3 linked regions of the Diceros bicornis minor genome follow. The protein of the gene in region 2 purifies or fractionates together with the protein of the main gene of each other region. This does not show direct contact. Links are inferred from orthologs where the notes say so. Each region holds a gene or a part of one and is shown on either strand. Other genes may lie near its edges. The genes, in order: SETD1B, WDR82 and CXXC1.

Evidence for each region.
Region 1: the proteins of WDR82 (region 2) and SETD1B purify together in Homo sapiens (affinity purification with western blotting; 4 studies listed by BioGRID, with this or other methods). This does not show direct contact. The link is inferred for Diceros bicornis minor from reciprocal best matches to the Homo sapiens genes WDR82 and SETD1B.
Region 3: the proteins of WDR82 (region 2) and CXXC1 purify together in Homo sapiens (affinity purification with western blotting; 7 studies listed by BioGRID and IntAct, with this or other methods). This does not show direct contact. The link is inferred for Diceros bicornis minor from reciprocal best matches to the Homo sapiens genes WDR82 and CXXC1.

The regions. Positions count from the first base shown.
Region 1 is NC_080774.1:8,197,664-8,207,617, reverse strand, and holds the start of SETD1B (histone-lysine N-methyltransferase SETD1B), read left to right. Parts: upstream 1-4,966; 5' UTR 4,967-5,175; intron 5,176-5,407; exon of another isoform or gene 5,408-5,556; intron 5,557-5,660; 5' UTR 5,661-5,674; coding exon 5,675-5,848; intron 5,849-6,051; coding exon 6,052-6,150; intron 6,151-6,770; coding exon 6,771-7,041; intron 7,042-9,061; coding exon 9,062-9,174; intron 9,175-9,954. UniProt on the Homo sapiens protein: Histone methyltransferase that catalyzes methyl group transfer from S-adenosyl-L-methionine to the epsilon-amino group of 'Lys-4' of histone H3 (H3K4) via a non-processive mechanism.
Region 2 is NC_080741.1:52,930,899-52,940,917, forward strand, and holds the start of WDR82 (WD repeat-containing protein 82), read right to left. Parts: upstream 5,004-10,019; 5' UTR 4,719-5,003; coding exon 4,558-4,718; intron 1-4,557. UniProt on the Homo sapiens protein: Regulatory component of the SET1/COMPASS complex implicated in the tethering of this complex to transcriptional start sites of active genes.
Region 3 is NC_080755.1:42,776,736-42,787,323, forward strand, and holds the start of CXXC1 (CXXC-type zinc finger protein 1), read right to left. Parts: upstream 4,431-10,588; 5' UTR 4,300-4,430; coding exon 4,297-4,299; intron 3,457-4,296; coding exon 3,338-3,456; intron 3,238-3,337; coding exon 3,137-3,237; intron 2,827-3,136; coding exon 2,591-2,826; intron 2,500-2,590; coding exon 2,323-2,499; intron 1,913-2,322; coding exon 1,886-1,912; intron 1,809-1,885; coding exon 1,563-1,808; intron 1,397-1,562; coding exon 1,289-1,396; intron 1,120-1,288; coding exon 935-1,119; intron 626-934; coding exon 418-625; intron 339-417; coding exon 228-338; intron 96-227; coding exon 46-95; intron 1-45. UniProt on the Homo sapiens protein: Transcriptional activator that exhibits a unique DNA binding specificity for CpG unmethylated motifs with a preference for CpGG.

The sequences.
Region 1 (9,954 bases), on a different chromosome or scaffold from region 2:
GCCCCATTTGTGCAGATGGGGAAAGAGAGACTGAGCAGCTTATGCAAAGTCACAGCAGGTGAATGGCTAGCCAGGTTTCAAACCCGGATTCGTCCGATTCTAGAAAGAGGGCTCTTTTGGGGTGGGGGCTGGGGAGGGAATCATGGGAATTCCCAGAAGGGGGAGACGAATCAAGAAACCTCCTCAGAGGAAGGTGACCCAGTTCTCAGGTCCTTCTGTTTACCTCCCTAGCAGCCTGACACTAGAGGCCGGCTCATACAGTCACCCTACACGTCCCCACTGGGGGCCGGAAGGGAGGGCCAGACTTCCTGGCAGCCGCCTGGGCCTTTCAGAAGTAAGAGGCTTTCAGAGCCCTCCCCCCACCAGCAAACACACAACTGGGAAATACTTGCAAGTGCAGCCTCTCCTATGCTGCTAAATACGGCCGAGAATTGCACGCCCCAAACTCCTGACAACAGAAGCTGACAGGCGGGGATGGATGGACCGAGCAGGCCCAGCAGGCAGCCGATTTCACACACACGGTCCCACACATCTGTGTGGGGGAGGGGCTGCCGAACCAGCCTAGCGGGTTTGGGGTGCCCGCCCTCCCTGGGCTCCAGGCCAACGCCCCCCAAATCTCCCTCGCAGCCTGGGAAAGGGCTCACACCTACCTTAGTGGGAGGATTGTCCGAGTCATACTAGGCCTGCTCCGGCTGTCCAAAGGAGGACTGTCCACTCTGGGGGCACCAGGTCGGTTGCCCCTTCTCCGGACAAGAGCCTAGGGGGAAAGTCGGAAGGTCTGTTAGGGAGTTGAGGAACACAAACCGGAGAGGATGTCTTTGAGGGAAGGGGAGCCTTACAAATGCCGTCCCCCCTTCCCAGCTCCCAAGGCGGCCCTCACTCTGGAAGGGATAGGAGGGGGGGTGGCTGAGTCACCAGGGTTCAACCCGGGCGACAAGCAGCAGGAGGCGACTCATCTGCATTTCCAAAGGCCCGCCCAGTCCGCATCCCCTCCCCCAGGAAGGGCCGGAGATGTGAGGGTTTACCCCAGAGCCCTCCGCCTCGGGGGATCCCGGGGAAGGCCCGCTCAGCCTTCCCAGGCCCCAACCCCCACCACAGCTCTAGAGCCTCGGGGTGGAGGGCGTGCCGCGGGCGGCCAAATCGGGGCGTCGGCGGCCTCCTTGAGGGCCTCACACCCAAAGTGGGGACAAAGGGGCTCTCCGCCCCTCGGGCTCGGCTATCCAAGGACGCCTGGGAGCCAGACATGGGCGCCCAGGCCCGGGTGGGCAGCGAGGACGGCCCGGGGGCAGGGCCGGGGCGCGGGGGAGGCTTCCGCGGCCTCCGGAGGAGCGGGTCGGGGTCAGGGGGCGGCCTCGAGGCCCTCCCCGGCCCCGTGGCCCTCTGCTACTGGCTCGCGCGCGGGAGGAGGAAGGGCCCCCGCCGCCCGGCTTGGGCGCGAGGCCTCGTGCCCGCGTGGGGCCCCGAGTCGGGCGCGGGGTCCGAGGCAGCGGCGGAGCCCGCGCCCGCCGTCGAGGCCTCGGGGCCAGGGGCGTCCTCGCAGGCGGCGGCCTCCCCTCCCCCCGGCCCGCCGCCTCCTCCCTCCTCCCGCCTGGCGCGCGGCGGCCGCCACCGCCCGAGCCGCGGGCGGCGCGCGAAATGGCGCCCGTCTGGCCGCCTCGCCGGGCGGAGGTGAGCGCGGGAGCTGCGGCGCGCGACGCCCCCGGGCCCGCGGCCCCCGACACGGCCTCCGCGACCACCCCCCGGCCCGGGGCGCTATGCGCTGCGGGCTCTCGGGGCCCGGCCCGGCCGAGGGGCCGCCACCTGCGCCGGGCTCTCAACGCCCACCGGGGAAAGAGGGAGGCAGGAAGAGAGCGGCCGCCATTAGCCACCGCAGCCTGGCCGGCCCGCCCGCCAGCCCCGGCCCGGCCCCGGCCGCGGCTCCGCTCTGAACCTGAAAATAAAACTCGAGTTGGGCAGGGAGGAGCGAGCGCGGCCGGGAGCACAGGCAGCGCGCGGGCTGCAGGCGCGAGAGATGCTGCGTCATGGTGCCAACATGGACGCCGGCCTTTGTCCTTTTTGCTTAGGAAGTGCAGGCGCGCCCCGGAGCCCCGGAAAGCCGGCTTCGGAGGGCGAGACCCCCCCCAATCAAAAGGGAACGAGGCCCTGGGCTGGGGGGGAGTGGGTTTCCCTGTCTTTTGAGCCCCTCCTTTGCAAAGCACTTTAATTTCTTCTCCACACCAAGGCTCAGACCTAGAAAAGCGAGGGGGACGAGCGCAGGCGACCCCGTGGACGCCCGAGGTCGCTGGGGAGGCCCTCCTCTCGCCTCCGGGGCAGAAGGGGCAAAAGGGTTTGAAGAGCCCACCTTGTCCCCCTACCCCTCCCCGATCCGGCTGCCAAACATAAAGCTCCAGAAACCTCCTTCTCTCCTCAGCTCCCAAACATTTGCAGCCCTTGGCCTGCTCGAAAAAAGATTTCCTCGAAGGGGCAAAAGGCATTTTTTTTTTTTTACTCACCCGCTCAGCCCGGTGCCATGGAGTCTGGAAGATCAAGCGGGGCGGAGGTTTTGAATATCTTTTGGGGGGATTGTTTAGTTGGGAATATTTGAGGGAATGGTGGTGTCTTTTTTTGTTGCTGTTACCTTTTTGTAAGTTACACTCTCATGGCATTTTCTGCTCCTTCCACTTCTGCAAACTTTCCAGGGTTGGGTTGGCAAAAGGCGGCTTCGCAGGACTGTTTACTGCTCTGGATATAGCAATGGTGTGACCGTCATTAAGAGACAAAAGGCGAAAATACACAGTCAAATCAAACAAAAGGCATAAGACGCACCGGCCATCCCAACCACCATAGAAAATACCCGCGTTAACGTTGGTGTTTGGCTCGAACCAGCTAGGACTTGTTTTCCAGTTTTAATCTAGTTTCCTGTGACGGCTTTAGTCTCTTTACACAAAGAGAAGGTCTTCCTTTCCCTCACCCACTCCCCTACCAAGACGACAAAAACAGAGCTGTTTTTCTTCAAATAGATCGATTTTCAAAGAAAGTGTACATGTTACTGGGAAGAAAGCTGACTAGCATTTATGGCTGTAAACATTTTCAAAAGCTTAAAGCTAAAAAACCTTAGCTTTATAAAAGCAAAATCGTCTAAAAGCATTTTAACTGGCTTATATTAGACAAGAGCGACAAAGACATACATGCAGATGAAGGTTCAGAAAATTAAGGACATCTCAGCAACATTAACATGAAAACTGCACTGCGTAAGGACAGAATGGATTGGGTACTTACAATGTAAAAGGTTTTTAGAAACTTAAAAGTAACAATTGCTTACAATTTTTTTGTTGCTGCCATTTCGCTAGTCCTAAAACTATACATTTAAAACATTACCTTGTTAAAAAGAGAGCAGAAGGAGTTAATAAGATGGCCAGGTTTAAGTGTTTAATAGAGGAAACTATATATATTTAAAAATTTATTGTTCAGTCAAGAGAATACAGATTAAGACAGCTCCAAGCTCCCCCCACCCACCCAAGAAAAAAAGAGGAAAAAAAATTAAATATGTCATTTACTTAGGTTTTTTGGAATTCAAAATTGTTAACTGCTGACATTAATGGTGTGCTATGACCTAGTTATACAAGACAAAGATGGATTCCAAGTCATAAGGAAAAATCCAGATCTTTTTAAAAAGTCTTCTTCATTCTTCCAATTGTGAGTCCTTTAGCCTGTTGACAAATGTTAAACAGAACACTGAGGCGTCCTGAACTGGATGGTGGAGTCAAAGGAAAAACATTCCCCATTTGCAACAAAGGAAAAACCCACTTGGCCATTTAATTCCATTGCAGAAAAATGGCTCCCCTCATCTGTTGGCCTCTCCTTGGTGTCTGATGAAGGATGTTTTGAGACCAGCGTCTAATAACTCAAGCCCTATAGAAGCCGCGCGCTGATTGGCTGCCGCGCCCTGCCGCCCTGCTCCAGCCAATTACCTACCCACGGCCAAATTACAAACCCCGAAAAGAGCCCCAATATGAAATACACCACCACGAAGCCCCGGCGAGGCGGCTCCTTCGCCTCGGCCGCCCGAGAGGAGAGGCAGAGGGGGCTGCAAATGCGTCCTCGCGAAGCCCGGGAGCCTCGGAGTTGAACTCACAAAATGGAAGCCGCGCGCTGATTGGCCGCCGCCACTCCCGGACCTTTAATAAAGAAAGGGGAAGGAAAAGATAAATGCAAAAAAGGGGGACTCTCTCCTCCGCTGGTGGCTGGAGGAAGAAGGAGGGGGGGGAGACAGAAGCATGTGTTCAAGACAATTACAGGGCGCTCCTCTCCAAAAATAAAAACAGAAAGAAGCTTCTATCACCCAGGTCCAGGCGAGGGCTGCATCCTCCCAGGAATGTGAATGCTAATTTGGTTAAAATCCTGGTTTCCCCTCCCCAGCTCAGCTCCAGGGGGGAGGGGGTCGCGGGGCAGAAGAGGAAGCCGGCGCTGAGATACCTCGATTGCAACTCGTCTTGAGTCGTCTTGCCTCTCCCCACGGCTCCCAGCGTCCAAAGACACAATCCCACACATATACACACCCCAAAACCCGGCCCTTCCCCCGGAGCCCCCGCGCGCCCACCTCCGGTCTCGGCAGTTTGGAAACAGTTTTGGAGGCCCGAGGTGCACGCCGCGGCGGCCGCGGCTCGGAGGGTAGCCCCAGCCGCGGGAGGTAGAGCCTGGGGAGACCCCCTCCCCCGCCAGCCAAGCCCCCCACCTAAGTCCCAGCAGAATAAATAAATTAAAAGGCCTTCCCCCGGGGAGGGGGGAGGCAGTGTGGGAGCGCGCGAGTGAGGGGTGGGGGGCCGCTGGGGCCCGGGGCTTTGGCGGCGCAGCTGCCGCCGCCGGGAGAGTGCCTGGGGAAGCGGCGAGGAAGGAGAGGGGAGGAGGAAGAGGAGGAGGAGGAGGAGGAAGAGGAGGAGGGTGAGCGCTCGGGTCGGGCTCCTTAGCGGTGTATTGTGGGATGTGCGGCTACTGGGAGCCGAGCCTCCGCCGCCAGCCGCCTCCCGGGCAGCAGCAGCAGCAGCAGCAGCGGCGGCGGCAGCAGCTCCGGGCCCGGCAGCCGCGGCGGCGGCGCCCCCCCGTCCCGGCCCCCCGTCCGGCCGCCCCGGCCTCGGCTCCCGCGGGGGACACCATGTACTGGCTGGCGGCGCAGGGAGGCCGGCGCCCGGCGGGGATGTAAGCGCGGCCCAGGGGGGAGAGGCCGCGGCCGGCAGCCGGGCAGCCCGAGCCCCCAGCCCCGGCCCCGGCCGAGCGCGCGGGCGGGCGGGCGGGCGGCGCCAGGCCTGCCGCGAGCCCCGCGCCCGAGCCGGGCCGAGCGAGCGAGCGAGCGCCACGCCGGGCGGCCGGGCGGCCGGGCGGGCACCATGGGCCGGAGCCCGCGTCCTCCGGGCGCCCCGGGCGCCGCCAGCCCGCACCGGGGGCCCCCGGGAGCCCCTCGCTGCCGCCCCGAGACGGTGGCCGAGCGGGCGGGCGCCTAATTCTCCCGGAAGGGTTATTCTCTCGCTCCATTCTTATTTTGGGGGGAGCCAGCGAGACAGCTCCTTTTGGGGCGCGCTGGTAAGGTGGGAGGGGGTGGGGGCTGGACGATTTGATTCTCTCGCGTGTGTGTAGAGCGGCCGCCGCCGCCGCGGCGGAGACGACAACAACTTGCTCGATTTCAGGTTGGGTTAACGGCATGGAGAACAGTCACCCCCCCCACCACCACCACCAGCAGCCCCCGCCGCAGCCCGGCCCTTCGGGCGAGAGGAGGAACCACCATTGGAGAAGTTACAAGTTGATGATTGACCCGGCTCTGAAGAAGGGGCATCATAAACTGTACCGCTACGATGGGCAGCATTTCAGCCTGGCGGTGAGTAGCCGGCGCGCCGCCCCGCCGCCCCCACCCACCCACCCGGCCCGGCCCGGGAGCGGGGTCCGAGCAGCCCGGGGCCCCCTCCCGACCGCCGGGCCAACTGTCAGCCGGAGTTTGACAAGTGCCTGGAGAAGGGGGGTCTGCCCCGGCCCCGGGAGCGGGACCAGCCCTCCCATTCCGCCCCCCGTTCCTCCCCGCAGATGTCCAGCAACCGCCCGGTGGACATCGTCGAAGATCCCCGGGTCGTCGGGATCTGGACCAAAAACAAGGAGCTGGAGCTGTCGGTGCCCAAATTCAAGGCAGGACCCCTCCCCCTGACCCGCGCTCGCCCCCCCCTCCCCGCGCCGCGAGTTCGAAAATAACGCCAGTCCTGGCCGAGCCCAGCCGGATTCTGAGTTCCCGCCGTCCGGGCCGGGAAGTTTTGGCGGGGCCGGGGGGGACGGCTGCGAGAGGGTGTCCCCTCTGGGCTGCTGTAAACACTCGGTGAAACTAAGCAGGGCGCTGATACAGTGTGCTGTCCGCCCAGCTGGGGGCTCCGGGTCCCCACCTGCCTCCTGCCAGCCCGGGGACTCAGCCCCGGGACCCGCCCCCCTTCCCAGCCTTGTGGCTTTAGGGGGACAGCTTCCTAGCCCCAGGGATCGCCCCTGACCCGGCAGCAGGGAGAGGAGGCCAGAATGGGGGGTGGGGAAAGAGAAACTGTTTCTTTTTCCCCTTTCCTTTCGAACCCAGAGGACTTCCACGTTCCAAACGATTTAATCCTCCGCTTCCCGGGCCCGCCCGCCTGCATTTTTTTTTTCCCCCAAAAATTTTTTTATTTTTTCCCCTTCATTGTTTTCAACGGGCAGGCGAGTGGGGAATGTCGTGTTTTCCCTTCGGTTTCAATGTTCTGCAAACTCCCTTCCCCCTCGTCCCCTGCCAGATCGATGAGTTCTATGTGGGCCCGGTGCCTCCGAAGCAGGTGACATTTGCCAAGCTGAATGATAACATCCGCGAAAACTTCCTGAGGGACATGTGCAAGAAGTATGGGGAGGTGGAGGAGGTGGAGATTTTGTACAACCCCAAGACCAAGAAGCACTTGGGCATTGCCAAGGTGGTCTTTGCCACGGTCAGGGGAGCCAAGGAGGCGGTTCAGCACCTGCACAGCACTTCCGTCATGGGCAATATCATCCACGTGGAGCTGGACACCAAAGGTGAGTTGGAGGCCGGCTGCGGACTGCCCACTGCCGAGGAGCCCCGGGACCTGTCCATGTGACCCTTTTCCCTCCCAAAGCCCCTCCTGCAGTGTTGGGGACCCCCTGACTCTTCCTTGGGGGCCCCCTACCAATTGTATTTTTCCCCCTCCTGAGGGTAGAGTCACGTGGAGCTAAATGTGTTGTCTGTTGCTAGGAGACAAGCTATAATTTACCAAATGTGCCAGTCCTTGGCCACTGCACCCCCAGGGACCACCCGGAGGCTTCCCCACTGCTGACACCCCCGTGGGCCCCTCTCCCAGCCCTGGTGGCCTGGGTTGAGACAGTCCCCAGTGTTGCTAACTGTGTTAGGGGAGGAGGCAGTGTTTGTTTATTTGTGGGGGGCTGAGGGAGAGCCACCAGGATGCCGTTAAATACATAAAGAGTAGGTCCCTGGACTAAAAAGAGAGTCCTCTAAGGATCCAGGGTCCCTTTCCCCTTGGAAGTGGGAACCAATCTGGGCCCAGAGTGTGGTTTCATTGATCATGTTCCATAGAGTGGGGAGGGCTGCTCTGGGTGCTCAAGGGTTGACACTGTGTCTTCCCTCCTCTCTCTTAAAGAGACAGCACCACCTCCCATGCACCGGAATCTCACTCTGTACTCACTCTGAGTGGCTGCCGGGAGAATCGGGGAGAGCTGGGCTGGGGAGGCCATACCTCCCACCCTCAGGGTCCTGGGAGGCTCCTCCTGGACGCTGGCTGGAGGGGCTTGAAGAACTCTAGGGCATCCCCCAAAGTTTGCCTGTGGCTTCTCTAGGGAAGTTCCCACTGATAGAGAAGAAGGTGCCAGGTGCTCTGAGGACCAGCCAGCCCTGTGACTGGGCAGACACTGTTGGGTCCAAAGCTCCTGGGGGTCCCCTGGGAGGGCTTAGGTGGGTGGCTTCCAGGGGTTTTGTGAGCATGGGGTTTAGGGGCACCCAGGGCACACCAAACCCCAGACAGGAAAATCTAAACCTTTCTTTTTTTGTCTTTAATAATGAGTACATGTTGACTGAGTCTCTTAAGACCTTTCTGGGGGTTGTGGAAGGAAGCTGGTCCTGGGCTGGCAAGGTTATCCCACAAACTCTTGCCAAGCCCGTCGCTAATTCTGAGTCTCCTTCAGGGTACAATCCAGGTTCCTGCCCAAGCCACAGCCCCCTGACCCCCCTTCTCTAGCTTCTCAATCTCTGTTGGGGGGAGTATGGACCCTTTCAAATCTACATATCCCTTGGGTGGCTGCTGTCAGCTCTCACCAAAATTTCATTTCTGCAAAAAAAACAGGGGAGCCCTCAGAGGCTGCCAACTAAGTTTGTATTTCAAGAAAGAGACCGGTAAAGTGTAAAGAGTAGCTCAAGGAATGCGTCTCCTTTGCATATGTAAGCAGCTGCCTCAGAGGGCTCTATAAATATCGATAATCTGGGGCCCCCTGGTCTGCAGAGGCCTCTCTCTGCTGGGGGGAGGAGGGCTACCAGACAGGGCTCCGTGGGACCGGCAGAGCCGGGGATCCTGGTCAGAGGAGGAGGCACATGGAGTTCACAGGAACGTGGTGCTAGAGAGTGTTTTACAAACTCTGCTGGTCCCCTGGCTCTGGAGAGTTAACAACAAGCTGTCACCTCTGTGTCACCAGTCTCCTCTCCACTTGCTACAGGGCCCTGGCTATTAAGTGGGAAGGCGAGGGGACAGGGAAGACCTGACTCTTTTTTTGGGTGCCACGGCCCAGGTGACAGGAAGGGGCTTTGTGTTGGAGGTGGCCTTTCTGTATTTGGGGGAGTCCCAGCCCCACGAGGCATTAAATTCTGAATCTCGGGATCAGACAAATCATATAGTCGAGCAGCTTTGTTGAACAGATGAGACTCCTGAGTAAGGTGCAAAGAGATGGGGAGCTGGTCAGGGTCACACAGTTTCCCCAGGCTTGGGGTCTCAGGGACCCACAGGGATGCCAACCTGTGGGGGCCGCCCCGTTCTGGAGCCTCACCGAGTCCTCCCTCCTTCCCTTTCCACAGGGGAAACCCGCATGCGGTTCTACGAACTGCTGGTCACGGGCCGATACACACCCCAGACCCTCCCGGTGGGCGAGCTGGACGCTGTCTCTCCCATTGTGAATGAGACCTTGCAGGTGGGTTTATGGCTGTCAGTCCTTCCCCCGCCCTCCCCCCACCCCCCCCCCACCATTTCCAGCTTTGGACACCAGGGCCTAGGAGGGAAAGGAGCCCGGCCACACCCACCACAGATTCCAGTATGGTCTACAAGCCCAGTTTGCCCAAGCTCTCCTCCAGCATGGCCCCCAGCCCGCCCCCTGCACTGGCTGGAATTCCCACAAGACCCAGAGTCCACCTGGGGCCTGCTTTGCACATTGATGCTGAAACATTACTGTGTCCAGAGTCCTAGTGTCTGGTGTCTTGTCCCTCTATCCCTGTCCCCAGAAAGCAGAGCTCAGGTCTCTCCTTCCAGAGCAAGACTGATTCTTTCCCCAACCACTGCCTCCCAGGACACTCACCTAGACCAACCTCTCATGGGGAGATCTTCATCCCACCTCCTTTCCCAGCGTCAACCCCGCCTCCCTCCCTCAGGAGTAGTTATTCCAGAATGAAGAGTCTTTGCTTACTTGCTGGTCAGCTGGGTTACTTATTAGGCACTTTTACCATGTCACACTATTTAAATCCTAAAACATCAGGAGGCTTGGAGGGACAAGGTCCTTGGCTACCCCCTCATTCGTAAGACAATAGGCAGCTATCTCTACCTGGAAAGTTTTTGATTTCTGACAGCCTGAGGCAGGAAGGAAATCCCAGTTCAAACCAAGATGTCAAGGTCTTATCTTTTCTCTGCTTCACGGATTAGGAAAAACCCTCAAGGTTCTCTGAGGATAACTGTCTACCCCAAGATTAGAGAAAAGTTA
Region 2 (10,019 bases):
CTGGGTTCGGATCCCGGGCGCACACTGACGCACCGCTTCTCTGGCCATGCTGAGGCCACATCCCACATACAGCAACTAGAAGGATGTGCAGCTATGACATACAACTACCTACTGGGGCTTTGGGGGAAAATAAATAAATAAAATTATTAAAAAAAAAAAGTACACCTATTGGGGAAGAAAGGCACACAAAACAAGTCATAACTTATAACAAAAAGGGATATGGGAATACGTCAAACCAATGAGGCCAGAACTTTTCATAAGCTATTCACTTAGAAAGAAACTTTCTTCAAGAAGAAATGATTTATCAAAATTGAAACCTGATGCAAAACTGCTTGCCTTTCCTAATATAACCCGCTGTTGCAGAAGCTATCCATCCTCCCTATCCTACAGGTCCAAAGCACTTACTGAGCCTTTTAGAAGGCAAGCCTAATTCTCCCTCGCAAAACTAGTCACTGGTTCTTCTCTTTTTACTTTAACGTAAAATCACGTATTTCCAAGCTAAAGGTTACCAATCCATTTGTTCAAGTTCCTTAAATTTTTCCTCTATAGAACCCTGAAGTCAAGCTGAAACTGATCTCACCAAAATCTTTAACCAAAACTTCATAATGTTCTATATTTAGGTGTAGGAAGATTTCATAAATCCTGTACCAATGTTTACCAAGAGTTCCAATTTATGAAAAAGATGGGAACCGGCCCCATGGCCTAGTGATTAAGTTCAGCGTGCTCCATTTCAGTGGCCCGTGTTCAAGGGTTCAGATCCCAGGCATGGACCTACACCACTTGTCAGCCATGCTGTGGCAGAGACCCACATACAAAATAAAGGAAGACTGGCAACAGATGTTAGCTCAGCATGAACCTTCCTCAGCAAAAAAAAAAAAAAAAAGTTCACCCTCTCACGGTAAAATCCTCTTGGAACCTAGATGCTAAACAATCAGATGACTCAGGCAGCTTTACGAGGTCAATCATTTGCACTTTCAATTTTTGTTAATGTCAGTGAGGTCAAGGGTTTCCCTACGTAAAACCTATCCAAACAAAACTTCTCACTCCAAATGCACTGAATTTTCTACATTCTTACCTTTACTGAAAGATCAACTAAAATGATCAGCTCAAAGGCTACCTTGTCGAGTCCACCATCCTGAGTTCTGCCATCGGGTTACTACGTGGTAACCAGCGAGTGAGTGAGCGAGTCTGAGAGCGTGTACGTGTGCTCACTCTCAAAAGATAATTGACTTTGCTTCTACCAGTGGAAAGAGCAGCTTACTTATCCTAGTATTTCAGTCTAAAATAGTGAAGACAGGGCCAGGCCCCGTGGCTTAGCGGTTAAGTGCGCGCTCCGCTGCTGGCGACCCGGGTTCGGATCCCGGCCGCGCACTGACGCACCGCTTGTCCGGCCATGCTGAGGCCGCGTCCCACATACAGCAACTAGAAGGATGTGCAGCTATGACATACAACTATCTACTGGGGCTTTGGGGGAAAAAAATATATATAAAAAAAATAATAAAAAAAAATAAAATAGGGCCGGCCAGGGTTCGGATCCGGGCGCGCACCAACGCACCGCTTCTCCAGCCATGCTGAGGCCACGTCCCACATACAGCAACTAGAAGGATGTGAAGGATGTGCAACTATGACATACAACTATCTACTGGGGCTTTGGGGGAAAAATCAATAAATAAAATTATAAAATAAATAAATAAATAAAAGAAAAGAAAATAGTGAAGACAGAGCCAGAAGAGACAAGGTTAAAGGGCGTGGTGTAAAGAAAATTTTTAGTTTCACTTATATATGACCTATTTGTCTCAAATTTATCAATAACACTAACCTGAAATTTGTTTTTAATAATAGAACTCTTTTACCTCATTATCATTTCCAAGTTTGAAAGTAAGATCCAAATGTATTGCATCCATTTCAGAGGATCTTTACAAAGCTCATGCACAACATTTTTTCACAAATATTTTGGTAAGGTGCTTTCCACAAACCATGATCCTGGTGATCAGGTATGAATAAATAATATTAAAGCCTTCTTTTTGAATAATTTGCATCACCTACCACAGATAATACCCTTTATATTCTTTCAAGTCGAAAAATCACTCAATGGATGAACTCCATTATAAAGAAAGTTTAAATGAACAGTTAACTGGAAAATATTAAGCATCAAGAATCCTGTTTTAGCCATTTTCAAACTCCCAAATTCTAACATTAGTACCATCTAAAAAGATACTATGACTTCCAGGGAACATTACTTGTCTTCCAATGCTGGTTTTACCTACACTAGTGGCAAATTTTTTCTTCATGTTACCACTTAGAATCATGGGCTCCTAAAGGCTAAAGAGGTCCTCTAATATCCAGGGAAGTGATCTGATCAATGTCATATACCTGGTCACAAGGCCAAACTAGAACCCAGGTCTCCTAATTACCAGGCCACTGTTGCCACAGATCACCATGAAAAAAGGTCACAATTAATTGATAAGGGAAAATTTAAAAGAGCATGTCCTACACTATTGTATCAATATTAAATTTCCTAATTTGGATAACTTTGCTCCGGTTACTTAAGAGAATGTCCTTGTGCTTAGGAAATCCATGTTGAAGTGTTTAGGGATAAACGGGCTCGATACCTTCAACTTATTCTCTAACGATTCAGGAAAAAATATGCATACCTATAAATATTTACACAGAGAAAGATAAAGCAAAGGGAGCAAAATGTAACCAATTACTGGGTCATATGAGAGTTCTTTGAAACATTGTTGTAACTTTTCTTTAAGTCTGTAATTATGTAAAAAACGCTACATGACTAAATAAACTGCATTTTTTCATAAAATTAACATTTTACTTTTAACAAGACAGGACTTCAAGTCACTGTCATCCCTCCCAACAAGTCAAAATTATGCCCCATTTGGAGACAAGCTGTGAGGGAATGCTATCATAACCTTCATTTCCTTTGAATAACGATATGCATCTCCACCCTCAGGTTCCAGGGAGAGGTTCTAATCTGTGCACAAGCAAAAAATATTTCAAGCAAGCCAGCTTCGAATTACTTCTAGCTCCAGGACCCCACAACTCCAACCCCACCTCAGCTTTACACGTTACTCTCTCTTCCAAGCTGATTCAAGTGGCCAGACCTGGACAGACATCCACCTACTAAATGAATAATATTGATTCAAATAACTCAGCATCCGTCCAGCTAACATCTCTCTTTCCCCAGAACCACCACTATAGGTCAGCCACTCTTCCACATACTGCAGGCAGGTACAGAGCCAGTTATATAATACTTCTTCATAGCCCCAGTGGGAAAAAACTGTGTAGGGTATTATAGCTCAGACCAAAACAGCATTACTTTAGATAATCAAATTCACAAATGAAGAGACAAGTTCCAAAAGAAAGTTTATAGAAGACGTCGGTAAAAAAAAAAAAAAACGGAAAGGGACCAGCTATAGAAGATAGAGAAAAACTCAAGGATTCAAAAAATAAGATCTGGAACTAAGTAACAAAATGAAGTCTGACAAAACCAGTACCCACCAAATTAAACCAAACATCCCAAGCCTGCTTGTGGAAGGCGGCTGAGGAGAAATCAAATTTAGCCTAAACCAGTTGCTGCTCCAAAGGAGCTCGCAATTTAACAAGGACTTGGAGAAAACAAGTCTACAAGGGTGAGGTGAAGCTGACAAGGTCCTGAGGGAAAAAGGCAAAATGCTGTGCTTATAAGATTTTGCAGAGATGCAGGTGTAGTGGGTCTGCAGAAGACTTGGAGCAACATAGAAATTTCATGATCAGACTCGGAATTTTGATAAATCCGAGTGGGTCATAAAGTATAATTTTTTTTAAAAGTGTAAGAGGAAACACGAAATTGTTATACGATGCTTTCTTTGTTCTAATGGGAGGTTCACATTCAGGTCGGAATGGGGCGGCCAAGCTCGTTTGTGTCTGGCAGAAAGGAAAAGTTTTTCAGATGCTGTAAAAAAGTTAACTAGAAAAGCGGGCATCGGGTCTGAGGGAGTCAGAGAACGATTTGGAACAGAAAGAAAAAGAATGGGGGCCCAAAGAGGCACAACAAACGGATCCTGACAGCTAAGAAGTGCAACCCGCGCGGCCTTCTGGCGGAAAGGCCGCGGGAAGCGGAGGGGCAGGGCCGGGCAGAGTGCCAGGCGGAATCGAGGTCACGGAGGAGTGGGCAGCGGGAGCGAGCTGACGCCGAACGAGGCGGGAGAGCAGTCCGGGGCTCCGTGCGGGGCCCGCGCCGACGGTAGCTCTGACAGAGCCGGAGAGCTACCTGCCAGGCCGGGATGGGCGGACCCGGCGTTTAAAGGTCAAGGTCAAGGTGGGGTTTGGCAGGCGATGCAGAAGCCTTCTCTGGGGACACCGAAGACATACAAAATAATAATATTACTATCATTATTTGAACAGGAAAAGGTCTCCTGGACAGCTTCGGAGTGGAAGCGGCCCTGGCAGGAGCGAGTGCAAAACAGGCCGGGGCCGGAGCGGGGCGGAGGGCGGGCCGCGGCGGGCGCTGGGCCCCGAGAGGGAGGGGACACAGACCCGGGCCGGGGCCGCCGCCGCACTCACTTGCCCTCCTGGCAGTCATAGAGCACGATGGAGTCGTCGTCGCTGCTCGAGATGACCGTCTCGCCGTTGGGGCTGAAGTCGAAGCAGTTAATCTTGTCCGAGTTCTCGCGGAAGACTTTGGCGACGCGGAAGCTCCGCAGCACGCTGTCGGTCAGCTTCATGGCGGCGGCGGCTGGAGGCGGCGGCGGCGGCACAGGGCCGGGGCGGGGCCCGGCGGCGAGCGGGCGGGCTGCCGAGGAGCCGACCCGGGCGGGGCGGGCGCCGCGCCGGCGGCGAGCGGGTGGGGAGCCGACAGTCAGGCCACCCCCTCCTCTCCGTGCTCCTGCTCGTGCAACGCTCTTCTGCCTGCACTATGGGGCCTCGCCGACAGTTCCTCGCCACACTCGCTTCAGGGCCAACCGGCGCGGCGCCGGCTCATTGTGTCCGCCATCTTGCGGCGACAGGCAGAAGCTGAGGGCGAGAAGCCTCACCGCGGCGCACGCCGGGAAAGGGGGCGGGGCGGGAACGGCGGCGCGAGGAGGGGAGGCGGGCTGGTGGCGTCAGCGCTGCCGGCGAGGAGTGGAGTGGCTGGGTGGTCCGGCGCAGCGATTCCCCAGCGCGCTGTGGGGTGGGGCGGGAGGGGTGGGGATGCACACCACCTTTCCAGTTGAGCTCGAGGGCCGCTGGTTCCCCGGAGTCGTGGGCCTGTGTGCGGGATCGCAACCCCCTGAGACACTCGGGCGCCGCCTGCAGGCCCCCTAACCGAGAGCCACGCGAGAGCAGGTACTGCGGGGGTCGCCTACGCCCCTGGAGGCTTGTTCTGGGGCGGAGTCAGTCATCCCATCACTGGCGGGCTTTGGCCGCTCGTGCACCACAGCGCCAGCATGGAGTTTCAATTTCTGTATTTTTTTATTGAGGTATAATATACGGTAGGCTGCCCAAATTTTAAGTGGATGAATTTTTTTTCATTTGGATATACTACATCCTTGTGACCACCACCCAGAACTTTTCTTTAAGCCTTCTTTAAAAACTTTTAAATTGATATATAACGTAAAGTGCATAAGGTGAACTAATTTTGTGTACAGCTCAACACATTTTTATAAATACTTATCTTTAAGTTTTAAAATATATTTTCAGCTCCAAAACTCATAGGATCATTACAAAGAAATTTTTAAAAGGGAAGATTATCTCATTATTCAACAAAATAGAAGTTTTAAATTCTCCCGACTTCCTCCTCCTTATTCATATATCTACATAAACTTTATAGATGCAACCATTTTTTTTTCCTGCTTTAGTATTGTGTCTTACACATTTTTCCATGTTACTAAACAGGATTGTTGTTGGTGTTCTTAATCGAGGTATAATTTATGTACAGTGAACATCAGCCTTTTTAATGGATAGTTTCATTAATTTTGACACCCATATACAGTCATGCAAGCACCAACCACCACATTCAAGATGTACAACAGTCATAGTCAATGTGACTATGTACTCATAGTCAATGGGATTGTTTCAGAGTTTCATATAAGGGATTCTTAACCTTAAAAGGAAGAAAGTTGATCCCTAACAAAGGAAAGCAATATCTGATCACAGAATAGGTACCACGCTCCATGGCTTTAACTTTCTGGGCAAGGGGTTAAAACTCCATGCAGCCTATGAGACTTCATAGATCTCTAACTTGTGCACAGCTCCTCAAAAGGTTAATTGCTTGGAGTCTCCAACAACGAAGACAGAGGCCTATTTATTTTCTTCACTAAAATGCAGTGGCTAAAGAGGAAGCAAAACAAAGAGGAAAGACTGTAAAATATTTCAATCGCTGATATTAGGAAGATGTGCTATCCAAAGATCCAGACATTACCTGGACAATGGTAAAAACAAAACAAACCCTGGGACAGTTGGGGGTCTTTCTGGAAAGAACTAAGGGTTGTGTCCCATCCCCTGGGTAAAAGAAGAGCCAGGATCCCTACTCATAAAGAAAAGTTGTTCTCTGAGGGGAGAGGGCAAGATCCTGCCCAAGTCAGGGCTTCAATTGCCTCCTGATAAAGAGTAGAGCTTCTGGGTACAATTTGTTCTGGGATCTGGAAAAAGCCTGTCTGAGTGAAATGCGAATGGATGGCAACCTTCCAAACTGCAAAGTGACGAAAGAAAAGTCCTCCATGCCCCAGAGCACTCACTTCCCTGCAATTCCTGCTTCTTTATTTCACAAGCTAGAAAGGCTGATGTAGAGCCTGCTTTGAATAGTGAAATGGCAACAAGGACAGATCGGGGCCATGTCCTGAAACTGTTGGGAAGTGAATACACTCAGTGAGATACCGTTTTTTGGTCCTTCTTAACCTACAAAAATAACCACAGAAATAGCCATAATCTACTGAACGTTGTCAGCCAAAAGAAATCTTTGCAGGGTATCTTTCAAGTTTTGTACTTCTTGTACCTTTCCCAGATTTCACTAAGACCGACTGAAGCTTCCTCCGAAGACTTGACTTCCTGAATTATGTTTGGAATGGAAAAAGTCATTTTTTCATATTTTAAGAGCAACCTGAAATGCCTCAGCCTGTTTCACATTCTCACTGTTACACATTTCTGGCCTGGCTCCCTGCTCTGTTATAGTGGGGCTCTCCTGGCTTCCGATCCAACAGTGCCTTAAAGGCTGGACTTTAAAAAAACCAGAAAGAGTGGCTCCTGTGGGAGGTGAATGGAGGGGTAAGCTGTAGTCAGAAGTGAATCAGATTGCCTTAAGGAGCATCAGACTTAATTTTTTATTTTTCCTTTCCTTTTAATCATGATTTCTTTTATTTACTTAATTTTCACACAAGTAAATACACATCTATTGCAGAAAAACTAAAAAATACAAATAAGCAATAAAAAAACAAACATAGCATCCAGAAGTAGCTACTGTTACATTTGTTTTTATTATGGCAAAATATACATAACATACATTTTACCATTTTGATGTAGAACTTGTCAGATTTTTTCCCCTGAAATATATTTTTAATGGGTTCATAATATAATATTATTTATAACCTATCCTTTTCATATAATACTATGAACATCTTCCAGGTCAATAAATACAGAACTACACAATCATTTTGAATAGCTACATACTATTCCACCATGTGTTTGTAAGTTAATTTTGCTTCCCGTTGTATCTAGAGCCCAGCCAGGGTCTCCCTCAATATATATTGTTTTTGTGTGTGTGTGAGGGAGATCAGCCCTGCGCTAACATCCGTGCTAATCCTCCTCTTTTTGCTGAGGAAGACCGGCTCTGAGCTAACGTCTATTGCCAATCCTCCTCCTTTTTTTTCTTCCCCAAAGCCCCAGTAGATAGTTGCATGTCATAGTTGCACATCCTTCTAGTTGCTGTATGTGGGACACGGCCTCAGCATGGCTGGAGAAGTGGTGCGTCAGTGCGCGCCCGGGATCCAAACCTGGGCTGCCAGTAGCGGAGTGTGCGCACTTAACCGATAAGCCCACTGGGCCAGCCCTCAATATATTTTGTTAATTGAATAAATGAATTTAGTCAAAGGATTCCAGATATTTGATTGGTCCATTTATTTTTTTCCCATTTTTTTCTCTCTCTTTTTTTAAAGACTTAATTTTTTTAGAGCAGTTAAGAGGAAGGTACAGAGATTTCCCATATAACCCTGTCCCCAAATGCATAGCCTCCTCCGTTATCAACATCTTCTGCCAGAGTGGTATATTTGTTACAATGGATGAACCTGCATTGACACATCATAATCACCCTAAGTCCATAGCTTGCATTAGGATTCACTCTTGGTGTTGTACATTCTATGGGTTTAGACAAATGTGTAATGGCACGTATCCATCCTTATGTTATCATAAAGAGTGTTTTCACAGCCCTAAAAATCCTCTGTGCTCTGCCTATTCATCCTTCCCCAGCTCCCAACTCCTGTCAACCACTGATCTTTTTACTGTCTCCATAGTTTTGCCTTTTCCAGAATGTCATACAGTTGGAATCATACAGTATAAATATACTTTAAAAACTGCTCATCTGACACTTAGGAATCAATCACTAGCTGGTGATGTTACACGTGGAGAAAGTGAAGCATGTGTAGCCAAAATAACAGTTATCATACACATAACAGAATACACATAATAACAATTATATACACATTTTTACTTATACACATCATCTCAATCCTCACAACAACTCTATGAGAGATGCAATTATTATCTCTATTTCAAAGATGTGCAAATAGAGGCTAAGAGAGGTATTCCAGTAGCAAGTGGCAGAACCTAGATTTATCTGTAGATAACTACATATATATGTGAAGCTAGACAATAAACATGCATAAATAGAGAAGAGTGGGTGGGAATTGATGGGTAAGTAGACATATCTGAACATACATGGAGAATGATGTGTGGACTGGAAAATAGATAAGGATGTGCAAACCTTTTCCTCCATAACCATGACCTCATGTCTGTAATTTAGGACTTTGGATGTGGCTGTGTTTGAAATTTGAGCTCAGAACACTGAGTTATGTCTCAGTAAACTTATTTCACTGTTCAGCAGTGAATCAAAACTCCATTGCCTCCTCTTATCACTCACCTATTTACCTGGATTCCAGGAAAACCAGTCTCAACACTAGGAATTAGTTCTAGCATTTGGCATCAGTAGCAGATAATGATATGTAAATAACTTTGTATTCTATAGAACTGTTCCCATGTGTCATCTTCAAAATAAAACTGCTCTTGCTAAGATCAACAAAGATCTTCTAGTTGCCCAATCCAGTAGTCACTTTTCAGTGTTTATCTTCCTGGCCATATCTATGACATTAACAGCGTTGACCACTCTCTTCCTAAATCGCTTCTCCATGGCTCCCTTGACATCATTCCATTCTGACTTTCCTCTCACCTCTCTGGACACACTCCTTCTTGTCTCTTCCTAACTGTTCTTTGGTCACTCTGTGGCAGACATTAATGGTTACCTACCCAACAGTTTTCTCCTCTTGCTCCTTTCTGATGGAATCCTGATTTTGTTCAGGTATCCTTCCTCCTCTGAGTGGCAGTGTATTTGCCAAGAGTTGAGCCCAGTGCTCTGAGATAAATCCTGATTAGTTTAAACTTCTCATAGTGTGGTCCCTGGACCAACAGCATCAGCTTCACCTTGGAACTCATCAAAAATTCATTCTCACACCAGACCTGCTGAACCCGAAGGTCTAGGGGTGGAGCCCAGCAATTTGCATTTTGTTTAAATATTAACTGTTTTTTTTTTTTTAAACTTTTTTCTTATCTTTTTTCGCTCAGGACGATTCGCCCTGAGCTAACATCCATGCCAACCTTCCTCTATTTAGTATGTTGGTTGGTGCCACAACATGGCTGCTGACAAGTGGTGCAGGTCTGTGCCTGGGAACCAAACCCGGCTGCCAAAGCGGAGTGCCCTGAACTTAACCACTAGGCCGTGGGGCTGGTCTCAGCAATCTGTAGTTTAACAAGCCCTCCAGGTGATCCTCATGCATGTTCAA
Region 3 (10,588 bases), on a different chromosome or scaffold from region 2:
AGCCTTAACCTCCCTCCTCTAATTCCACGTGGCGCCCACACTCACCCCTCAATGCGTGTGGGGTACATGGACCCAAAGGACGTCTGGCTCTCATACTGGAGGGATGAGCACAAGTGGAGGGAACTGTGGATGTGTGCTGCATGCCCTCCCAAGACAAGACCCAGAAGACACATCTGACCGCCCATGGGCCCACTGAGGGTCCCCTACCCCTCAGGCTAACACCTGACCTTGGCATAGCAGCGCTCCATGTGGCGCAAGGCAACACGTGGGTTGATGGGATGCCCACAGGAGACGCAAAAGATCTGCAGGTCCGTGTCATCACTGTCACCCTCATTGCTCTGCATGGGGTAGAAGGAACAATGAGGATGGGCAGGACCAGGTGCTGGGCCCTGCACTGCTGTGCCTGTGCTTGCTTACCTCCTCGTCCTCGCGCACAGCCTGCTGCTTGGCACGCAGAATGATGGCCTCAAGCTCATGGAATCGGCGCTCCATTTCCTGAAGGCGGGTTCGGGCACTCTGCTGCTCACGGCGAATACGTTCAAGCAGCTTCTTGCCGTGCTCCTCAGCAATGCAGGGGCTCTGCTGCCACTGCTGGATGCGCTGGGGGAGGATCTCGTAGATGCGGCTGCAGGGAGGCAGTGGGTTGGGTGTGGGCAGGTGGCAAACAACAAGATGAGTAAGTGGGATAACCCAAGGATGGCAGAATGGATAGGTGACTAAATGGTGAAAGGATAAGTAGATAGCTGACTGAGTGGTAGATGGATGAGCTGAATGGTGGATGGAAGGGTGAACAGATAGATGGATGAGTGAGTGAATGGATAAGTGGGTGCCTAGTTGACTAAATGGGACAGGTGACTGGCAGACATACAGAAGGCTCTGGTCATGCCCTACCCCGTACTCCCTGTGTCCCTTGAACCCCCCAGGAATGACTCACTTGGCTGCCAGCTTCATGCCACAGTCGTCTGAACAATACTTGGAGCCAGGCTGGGCAGGGCGCACACAGCCAGGCCCCAGGCACTGCGGTAGCGATGCAGGGTCCTTGGCATCAGCACGCTCCGGGTGTTTCCATTTGTCCTTGTGCTTCTGCTTTTGCCGATGCCGCTTGTATCTCTCCTCTTTCTATGGGACAAGGCAGTTCAGGTCAGGGTGGAGTTGAAGTCTGCCCCAGACCCATCTCCCCCTGCATTCCACCCCTTCCTGGCTCTTGCCCCATGCGGCCCCTAGCCTTTGCCTCTCCCTCCCCACCCTACCCTCTGCCTTCCCACACCCATTTCACCCTCTCCATCACCTTCTTCTCAGACTTCTTCTCCCGACGCTTCACATGCTTCACTTTCACTGCCCTCTTCCGCAGTGCGGGATCCAGGAATGGGGACTCCTCTGTGTCGCTCATCCAGGGCTGCAGGTGAGGCAGACACTGGCCCATCTGTACCACCCATGACTACCCCACCAACTATTTAGTTCCCAAATCAGCCTTCCACATCCTCTGCCTTCTCTCTTCTCATTATGGATACTCTCTACTTCTGTAACCTCTACCCTTCCACCACGGGACCCTGCCTGCTCACCAGGCCATGGTCATCAAAGGCCCCTGCACAGAAGTCCTGGTATAGGTCAGGGTCCAGTGGTAGGTCTTCATCTGAGAGTGGCTCAGGCGTGGCCGTAGCCTCAGGTGGCTCCTTGACTGCTGCTGATGCCACTGCCCCCTCATCCTCACGGATGCGCCCTGGTTTCTGTGATGGCTGTGGCTGCTGCTGTGTGGGCAGTGGCCGACGAGGCCTTGGCAGGGACTCTGAGGGTGTCACTGGCGAGAGCTGCAGGGCAGAATCTCAGGACTGGCCCTGACTGCCCTGCCCACATGCCCTGCCCCGCTCTGGGAGGCTGGACTCACCGAAGAAGGGAAGTACTTGTACGATTCCTGTGCCGGCAGGAGGAAGGCCCAGGTCAGCCCCAGGTAGATGGAGGGTGGCCCTGCCCTAGCCCCTCCCACAAGTGCTTGGCCCCACCAACTAGCCCTGCCTTGCTTCCCCAGACACACCTGCCCCTTCTCCCCTCATCACCAGGACATGCTCAGCCCTGCCCTCCCTGCCCTGACATGTCTGATCACCTAGAAACATCTGGCCCTATCTTGCCCACCTGGGTTTGGGGGGCTCCCCTGCTGGCCCAGCACACCTGGTCAGGCCCCATTCATCTGGACAGGCCAGGCTCCTTCCCACCTGTCTGTATGCAATTAGGCCCCACCCCACCCGGCCCACCCATTTTAGCTCTTCCTGGACACACTGGCCCCCTCCACCCCACCTGACCCTGCCCAACTCCACCCAGGCTCACCCGGGCCCGTAGCTGGCACTGACGCAGCCGGCACTTCTGCCGGATCTTGTTGGGGCCCCCAAATTTCTTCATGTCCCGGCAGAAGTCGCAGTGGCCACAGTCCTCAGTGCGCCGGCAGGCCTCGCACTCACCACACATGCGGGCTGACCGTTTGATTTGCTGTTGCTGCTGGTGATGCTGGGGGGAGGGACCCAGAACAGAAATCAGGAACTCAAGTAGGACCTGAGGTGGGATCACCTTATCTATCCCAGCCACTGCAGCCACTCACCTGGCTGGGTGTGGCCACCAAGGGCTGTGGAGATGATTTGTGGGGCGAAGCAGAGCCCCGAGCAAGCATGGCCCCAACCCCTGTCCCTGACCCCGCCCGGCGCTGCAGGTCCGGATCCGGGGCAGGCCTCTTGCGCCCTCCACCCTCATCCCGGGGCTCACTGCCGTCTCGCTCATTGCTGTCCCGCTCGCGTGACTTCTTGTGCCGATAGCGGATCTCCAGCTTGGGGTCTTTCTCTATGGAGCAGAGCGGGGAGCCGGGGGGTGACATTGGAGGATTTCGATGGTCCCAGAACTCTTCTTCCTCTTCTCTCCTTTTCTGTCCCACCCACCTGCTCTGTCCCCCTAGTCCAGGGCAGAACTGCCCCCTCTGGTGGGACCCTCCATTATGGCTCACAATGGAGCCTTCACTTTAGCTCACAACAGACCAACACTCACTCTGCCCAAGAACATATATCACTACTCCCCACGACCCACCCTCCCATTATGGCTCCTCCTTCTCCCTGGAAGTCCCACTTGCCTGCCCTGTCCTTTCCACCCCCCTCACCTCGGCACTCCCGACAGTACCACTCGCGGATGGCCTTGGCCATCTTCTCAGTGATCCGGATGCAGTCCCCATGGAACCACTCATTGCAGTTGTCACACCCGCTGCAGAGGATGGGGCGAGTGGTGGAGATATGAGGGGCCGGACCTATGGCCTTGCCCAACCTTGACAGGTGTCAGCCCCGCCCACCTCTCCCCGGCTCACATCATGAAGCAGTTGATGTCCGGTTTGCGGCAGATGCAGTAGATGGGCGCATTCTCCCCATTCTCCGACTTGCTGTCCTCCCCAGCATCTGGAGGCTCTGGGTCTGAACCATCCCCCTCCTGTGGGAAGTCCCCCATTATGGCTCCTTAGAGAACGCCCATCATAGTGTCTCATTCCTCCATTACAGCTCCGCCATGGCGCACCACAGACCCCAACACTCTGCCAACAGACCTCCTATCATAGCTCCTCACAAACCTCTCCATCACGGTCTCCACAGACCTCCCCCACCACTCACCCCTGACACCCCGTTACTCTGCTAATAAACGCCATCACTCTGCCCCAGATCTCCCATTACTTAGCCGGCTAACACCCCATCACTCTATCCACACACTCATAAGGGCTCATTACACTCTACCACTCACCACATATTGCCCCCAAAATGGCTCCTCACAGACCCCACCACAGGTTGTCAGACACCAACGTGATTTACTCACTTCCCAACACAGCTCTCCACAGATCTCCCGTTATTAACCCCACTGACAACCCTGCCCCCATCCCGGTTCCCTACGGATCCCCTAATACACTCATCATGGCTCACTACTGAGTGCCCAATACGGCTCGTCGCAAACCCCTTATCACTTTGCCTAAAGAAGCCCCATCTGGGGCCCCCCGGAACTACAATCAGGGATCCCCACTAAACTTCCATTCCGGATCCCCACATGGCTCATCACAGAACTCCCAGACTCCCACAAAACTCACACAGCAGAAAAAAAATCAGGCCATCAGTCCCCCATCATACTACCCACAGACCCCTGCTGAGGCTCACCACAGGCCGCACCATTCTGCCCACAGACTCCTGTTACGGTTCCCCACAGACCCCCGTGAGTCTGCCGACGGACCCCACCATTACCAACCCGACTGACCTCTACTGCCGACCCCCTCCCCGGACCCGTACTCACCATCTCTCAGCTCCCGGGGCACCGCCTCGCGACCCCCGCCAGCGACCCGCGAACCCACACAGACTACTGGGCAGCGTCCGCAGCCGTTGCAAAGGCGCCCACAGCTACTTCCGCCTCTGGTCGCGCCTCCCGGGCACCGTACTCCTATTGCGCAGGCCCGGTGCGTCGGCTTCAACGACAAACAAGTAGGTCCCCCTCCTAGAGCCCCGCCTGTCCCTCAGGCGCCGCCATCTTGACTACTGATACTGTATGGCATCCGAGTCCATACATTCGCAGGAAACATGGCCGCGCCTATAACGCTGCTTTCCCAAGGGCGCCGCCACCTTGTCGGTAGAGTCCGTACGGTGACTGCTTTACGGCCCGGACGTTACAGGCAATATGGCCGCGCCAACGCGAATTCTACGAGGACGCCGCCATCTTGGAATCTGGTTCCGTAAAATGGCCTAGTCTGTACGGTCAGAGGCAATACATGGCAGCGTCCTAATCGTGGCTTCCTCGAGGGCCCCGCCATCTTGGTGGTTGATTCCGTACGCCGGCAGCTTGCACTGCCCAGTTCACAGGGAAAGCGACCGATCCCGAAATACTATCTCGATCAAGTCGTATTCATTCCGCTATTCAATCACTTTTCCCTTCCACATGTATTAATGGGGCGCCAGAAGACTGTGTGCCTTGCGCTGCGAAGGAAACCAGTCCACCTGTTAGATCTCCGACACCACCTCCCGCCACTCTTTCCCACTCTCCTTGCAGTTGCTCAGCCAGGCCTAGCACGGTTCAGCCTCTGGGCCTTTGCAGGAACACTCTCATCCCTCAGAATTAGTCCCGAGCGACGAAAGAAGGCCAGACGCGATCGTGGCCTGATCACCTCTGGTGAGAGAAGTGGCCAGAACAAAGTAGATTTTGAAATCAGGGACAATCGTCTTCACCAACCTCTCCCCTGATCCTGCCACCAGCAGAGTGTAGATTTGTCTTGTTCCTGGTGATGTCCAGTTTGGTTCTCTTGTTTCATACAAATTCAGTATTCAATATTCTCTCCAATAAAGTTAATTTAAAATTATTTTAAAGAACTTAAATTGTGTACAATAAAAAAAGTCGGGGAGGGGAGAGCCTGGGTGGCTTAGTGGTTAAGTTCCACATGCTCCCCATCAGTGGCCAGGGTTCAGTTCTCAGGCCAGGACATACACCATTTGTCTGTCAGTGCCATGCTGGGGCTGCTGCTCACATACAAAAAAAAAAAAGGAGGAAGATTTGCAGCTGATGTTAGCTAAGGGGGAATCTTCCTCAGCAAAAAAAAAAAAGTCTGTACAGGTCAGAGAGCTAGATATCTCTGCAGGATAATGATCTAACCTGGGCGACCATGGAGGTCAAATGAGATACATGTTAGCGTTATTTTATGTGCACTTATTTTATATGCAACACTTATTTCCTAGATATGGGAATCATGGTCATAGTAAATGTCCACATGTCCATGTTCAAAGTGAGAACGACTGTATTTATTTTGGGTTGAGGAGAGGATTCTGGGGAGAATGAGATGTTTCACCCGTGGCTAACAGTTTTTCTAGATTTCTTGGTTCTGGACACTGTAGCAACTTATTTGTTACTGATGATTTTGCTGCTCGTGGCTTAGGAGGTCCGATTTTTTTTCCTCACCTTTCCTAAACATTTTTCTTTCCCATCCCTTCCACACCATCACAGACGTCAAGACACATGGGCAGCAACAAAGGTTCTGTGATCTTCTCCTCTTAAAAGGGGTTTTTAATCCAGAAAACAGAGACCTTCAGATCCAGCATGACTTCTCATTTTTATTTATCAATTAATTTCGAATTAATCTTAATTTGATTGTAATTTATTTTAATTAACATAATTTAATTCTTTAAATTTAGTTTTTCATTTAATGTGTTAAATTAACTCTAGTATAATCAAATTTTTATGTGTTAGTAAGGTACTTAGATAAATTTATTTTCACATCAATTAATGAATTTTATATAATTCAATTTTAATTTAATTAACATTGAGTGTATGAAAATAAGTTTGAGGGAATATAGCTCAAGTTTAACTTAAATTTAATTACTCAAATTTAATTTAACATAATTGAATTTTGACTTATTAAATGTAATTTGGTTTAAATAATTTAATATTTAATTTATTCAACCCTGATGTCATTGTGTATCTTTTAATTTTAATTTATTATATTACATTTTATTTAATATGATTTAGTTTAATTCATTCAATTTAATTTGCCACATTTAAATTTTAATTCAAATTCACTAAACTAAATTTTATAGTCATGTAATTAATTAAATTGATTTAACTAAATTTATATTCAATTACTATATTTTGAAATATAATTTATTAAATTAAATATGATTTATTTAATTAGGAAAAAACAATGAGAAAACATAAATTACCCACATCATGAGTGAAAAAAGAGCCATCAGTACAGATCTTACAGATATTAAAAAGAGACTATTATTCACACATTTATACTAACCTAATACAATTTATTTGACTACTTAGATAAAATAGACAAATTCCTTGAAAAAGGCAGCTTACCAAAACTAACACATGAAGAAATGGAAAATTTGACTAGCCATATCACTATGAAATTATTTCAATTTCTAATTAAAAACCTTCCCACAAAGAAAACTCGAAGCCCAAATAGTTTTTTTTTTAATTTTATTTATTTTATTTTTTTCCCCCAAAGCCCTAGTAGATAGTTGTATGTCATAGCTGCACATCCTTCTAGTTGCTGTATGTGGAACACAGCCTCAGCATGGCCGGACAAGCGGTGTGTCGGTGCGTGCCTGGGATCCGAACACGGGCCACCAGCATCGGAGCACGCGCACTTAACCCCTAAGCCAGGGGGCCGGCCCCCAAATAGTTTTGATAGTAAATTCAAATATTTAAGGAGGAAAAAAGAGCAATCCTATGCAAAGTCTTTGAGGAAATAGAGGAGGAAGGAATACTTCCCAATTCATTTTGGGAATCATTTCCCTGATACCAAAACAGACAAAGACATTACAAGAAAAGAAAATGACAGACCAATATACCCCATGAGCATAGATCCTGCAAAGTTTGAGGAACAGTTTCCAAGAGACCATCTTTACTTCTGAGGCCACTGCAGAATTTAAGGGTTTAAGTTTAAGTTTAAGAGTAAGGAGATCATACCTACTTCTGACACCAATTGCCAGTTTGGGGGTCCCCAACTAACTTGCTAGAAGGACTCACTGAAAGCTGTTATACTCACAGTTATCACAGGGAGAGGATACAGATTAAAATCAGCAGTAAGACAGAGTCCAGGAGGGTTCTAAATTCAGAGCTTCCAGTTATCCTCTCCCAGAGGATTCATGGACAGAGTTAGCTGCTCCCAGTGATGATATGTGACAATATGCATGGAGAATTGTCAACCGGGGAAGCTCACCTGAGCCTTGATGTCTAGAGTCTTTATTGGTGTTCCATTACATAGGCACCATTGACTGCCTGTGTGCCAGAACTCAGTTTCTAGGCCCTCAGGAGGTTGAGTTGATACCATGTGACCCAAATCCCTCACCTTAAATCACCTTATTAGACTATCCAGTGACCAAGAGACCTCCAGGCAAACAAAGATACTCCTGTCGGGTGTGACATTAAAGGGTTTAGAGATTACCTCCCAGAAGCCAGAAGCCGAGGAGGGCAAAGGCCAGGTCTCTCTTTGGACAGGGTTAAATTCTTTACTACACAGATGCAAAAGTCATAACAAAATATTAGCAAATTGAATCCAGCAATTTATAAAAAGGATAATACACCATGAGCAAGTGTATTTATACCAAGAATAACGATCCCAAGAATGCAAAATTGGTTTAATATTTGCAATATTGCAGGGGACTAGTTATACCATGGAACCCTGATGACCTTATATATCTCCACAAAGGCCAAGTAGGCAAAGCTTTATTGCCTTCTAACTGAGCCTTGGTAGAATGCCCTGGACTCCTCCCAAACCAAGGAAGACAAGCACAGGGGAGGAAAAGACATCCTGTGGGCAAGGAGCCAAAGGATGAAAAAGGCTCCTCAGCTGTGCTGGCCAACCTCTGCTGCCTGGCCTCCACTGCCCTCCAGCACTCCTGAAGTTCCCAGCCATAAGGTAACATGATTTCCTGATAGAGTTCCGGCAAAACTCACAGTGAAAAGGAAAAAAAGAGACCATTAAAGAGACCATATGGGTGAGGCCTCTGGCCAATTAATCTACTGTTGTTATAACTTCCTCTGCCAAATGTGTAATGAAATTGATGTGTTATATGCTTGTACTATAAATGCTCATAAACTTCCAGGGGAGATTCTCCCCTTTAGGACAGAGCTACAGGTAGAAAGTGTTATGGGACAAATTCCCCTGCCCTTGCCACCAGTGGGTGGGTCAGGATTTAGTGCGAGTGCTTCTATCCTGATTCCAAAGCTTTCACTAAATAGATAATAACCTGTTGGTTGGCAAGTCAAAGCCTTAGTGTCAGTGACCCAAGGCATTATCATACCTCTGCCCACAGGAGGCTGATAACCGCCCCCCCACCCCAAATTTAGGGGCCTAATGCTAAGTTTTTTGGATTTATGTGCTCACACTGCTCACTCTCTCTGGAGTGAAGAAAAGACTGCTATCTCTTTCCCAGATAGGATGTGGCTCACTAGACAGGGCTTGTTGAGTGCAGTTGACCTAACCCTCTGGTCATCTTGGCTTTAGATGGAAGGGTGGCAGCTACTCTGCTACCACTGTTAAATCTCACTGTCAGCTACCCAGAATCAAAAGCAGGTGTAGTCTCTGTGCTCCGTGGGAAGAATTCAAAAGCCATTTTCATAGCCCCAGCCAACACTCCACTTCATGAACCTGTTGTTTTTTTTACTGACTCTTAGGCTATTTGGTCTCCCATTTAAGAGTACAGACTGACAGAGTAAGACACTCTTCTTTGGGGCTGTGAACTACCTGCTGTTGATCAGACCATCTGGTCACTCATGTAGACGCCCATGGTAAGGGAATATTCTCTGATGAGATCGACTGGAATCAAGCTGCCAATCAAGATGGCACTGCTCAGATCACCACCAGAGACTGCAGTGCATCCACCATCAGGAACTGGGCACAAGGTAAAGAACTCTGTGTTTTTGATGCAGGAGCCACAACTGCACGACAGGTTTGTGATTCTTGACAAAAGTTTCCGTGTGTCTACAGTGAAGGAGACCACATTACATGGAACATTGGCCCCACCTGATCCTGACAGATTGACTACATAGAACTCTTGACTCCACTTTTGGGGAAACCTATAGTAATTCACCGCTCTTGACATTTTCTCAGGTTACAGTGTTATTCAGGTCTAGTCAGCCAACTCTGGCCATACCATTTTGGCTCTTGGAACTAATTGGAATCCTCATGCATTGGTGGGAGTATAAAGTGGTGCAGCTGCTTTGGAAACGAGTTTGGCAGTAAAGTTGCCATTTGACCCGGCAATTCCACTCCTAGACATATACCCAAGATAAATTAAAAACATACGTCCCCACAAAAACTTGTACATCAGTGTTTATAGCAGCAAATAACCAAAAAAGTGGAAACAATCCAAATGTCCATCGACTGACAAACGGAAGAACAAAATGTGTTATATCCATACAATGTAATGTTATTCCACCGTAAAAATAACGAAGTACTCATACATGCTAAACATGCATGAATTGAAAACATTATGCTAAACAAAAGAAGCAGACAGAAAAGGCCATATATTATATGATTCCATTTATATGACATGTCCAGAATAGGCAAATCTCTAGAAACAGAAAGTAGATATCTTTGTCTTGTTCCTGATCTTGAGGGAAAATATTCAATCTTTTACTATTAAATATGTTGTTAGCTGTTGGTTTCTGTTGATGCTCTTTATCAGGTTCAGGAATCTCCCTTCTATTCTTAGTGTGTTGAGTAATTTTCTTTTTATCATGAAAGGCTGTAGGATTTTGTCAAATGCTTTTCTGTGTCATTTGAGATCACATGGGTTTTGTCCTTTATTCTATAAATATTCTATAAATATCCTTTATTCTATCAATATTTACAAAGATTGATTTTTGTATGTTAAACCATACTTGCATTCCTGGGATAAATCCCACTTGGTCATTGCGTATAATCTTTTTTATATGTTGTTGGATTTGATTTGCTAGCAATGTATTGAGAATATTGGTTTTTATATTCATAAGGAATCTTGGTCTGTAGCTTTATTTTCTTGTGATATCTTTGTCTAGTTTTGGTATCAGGGTAATAATAGCCTCATAGCATGAGATGGGAAGTGTTACC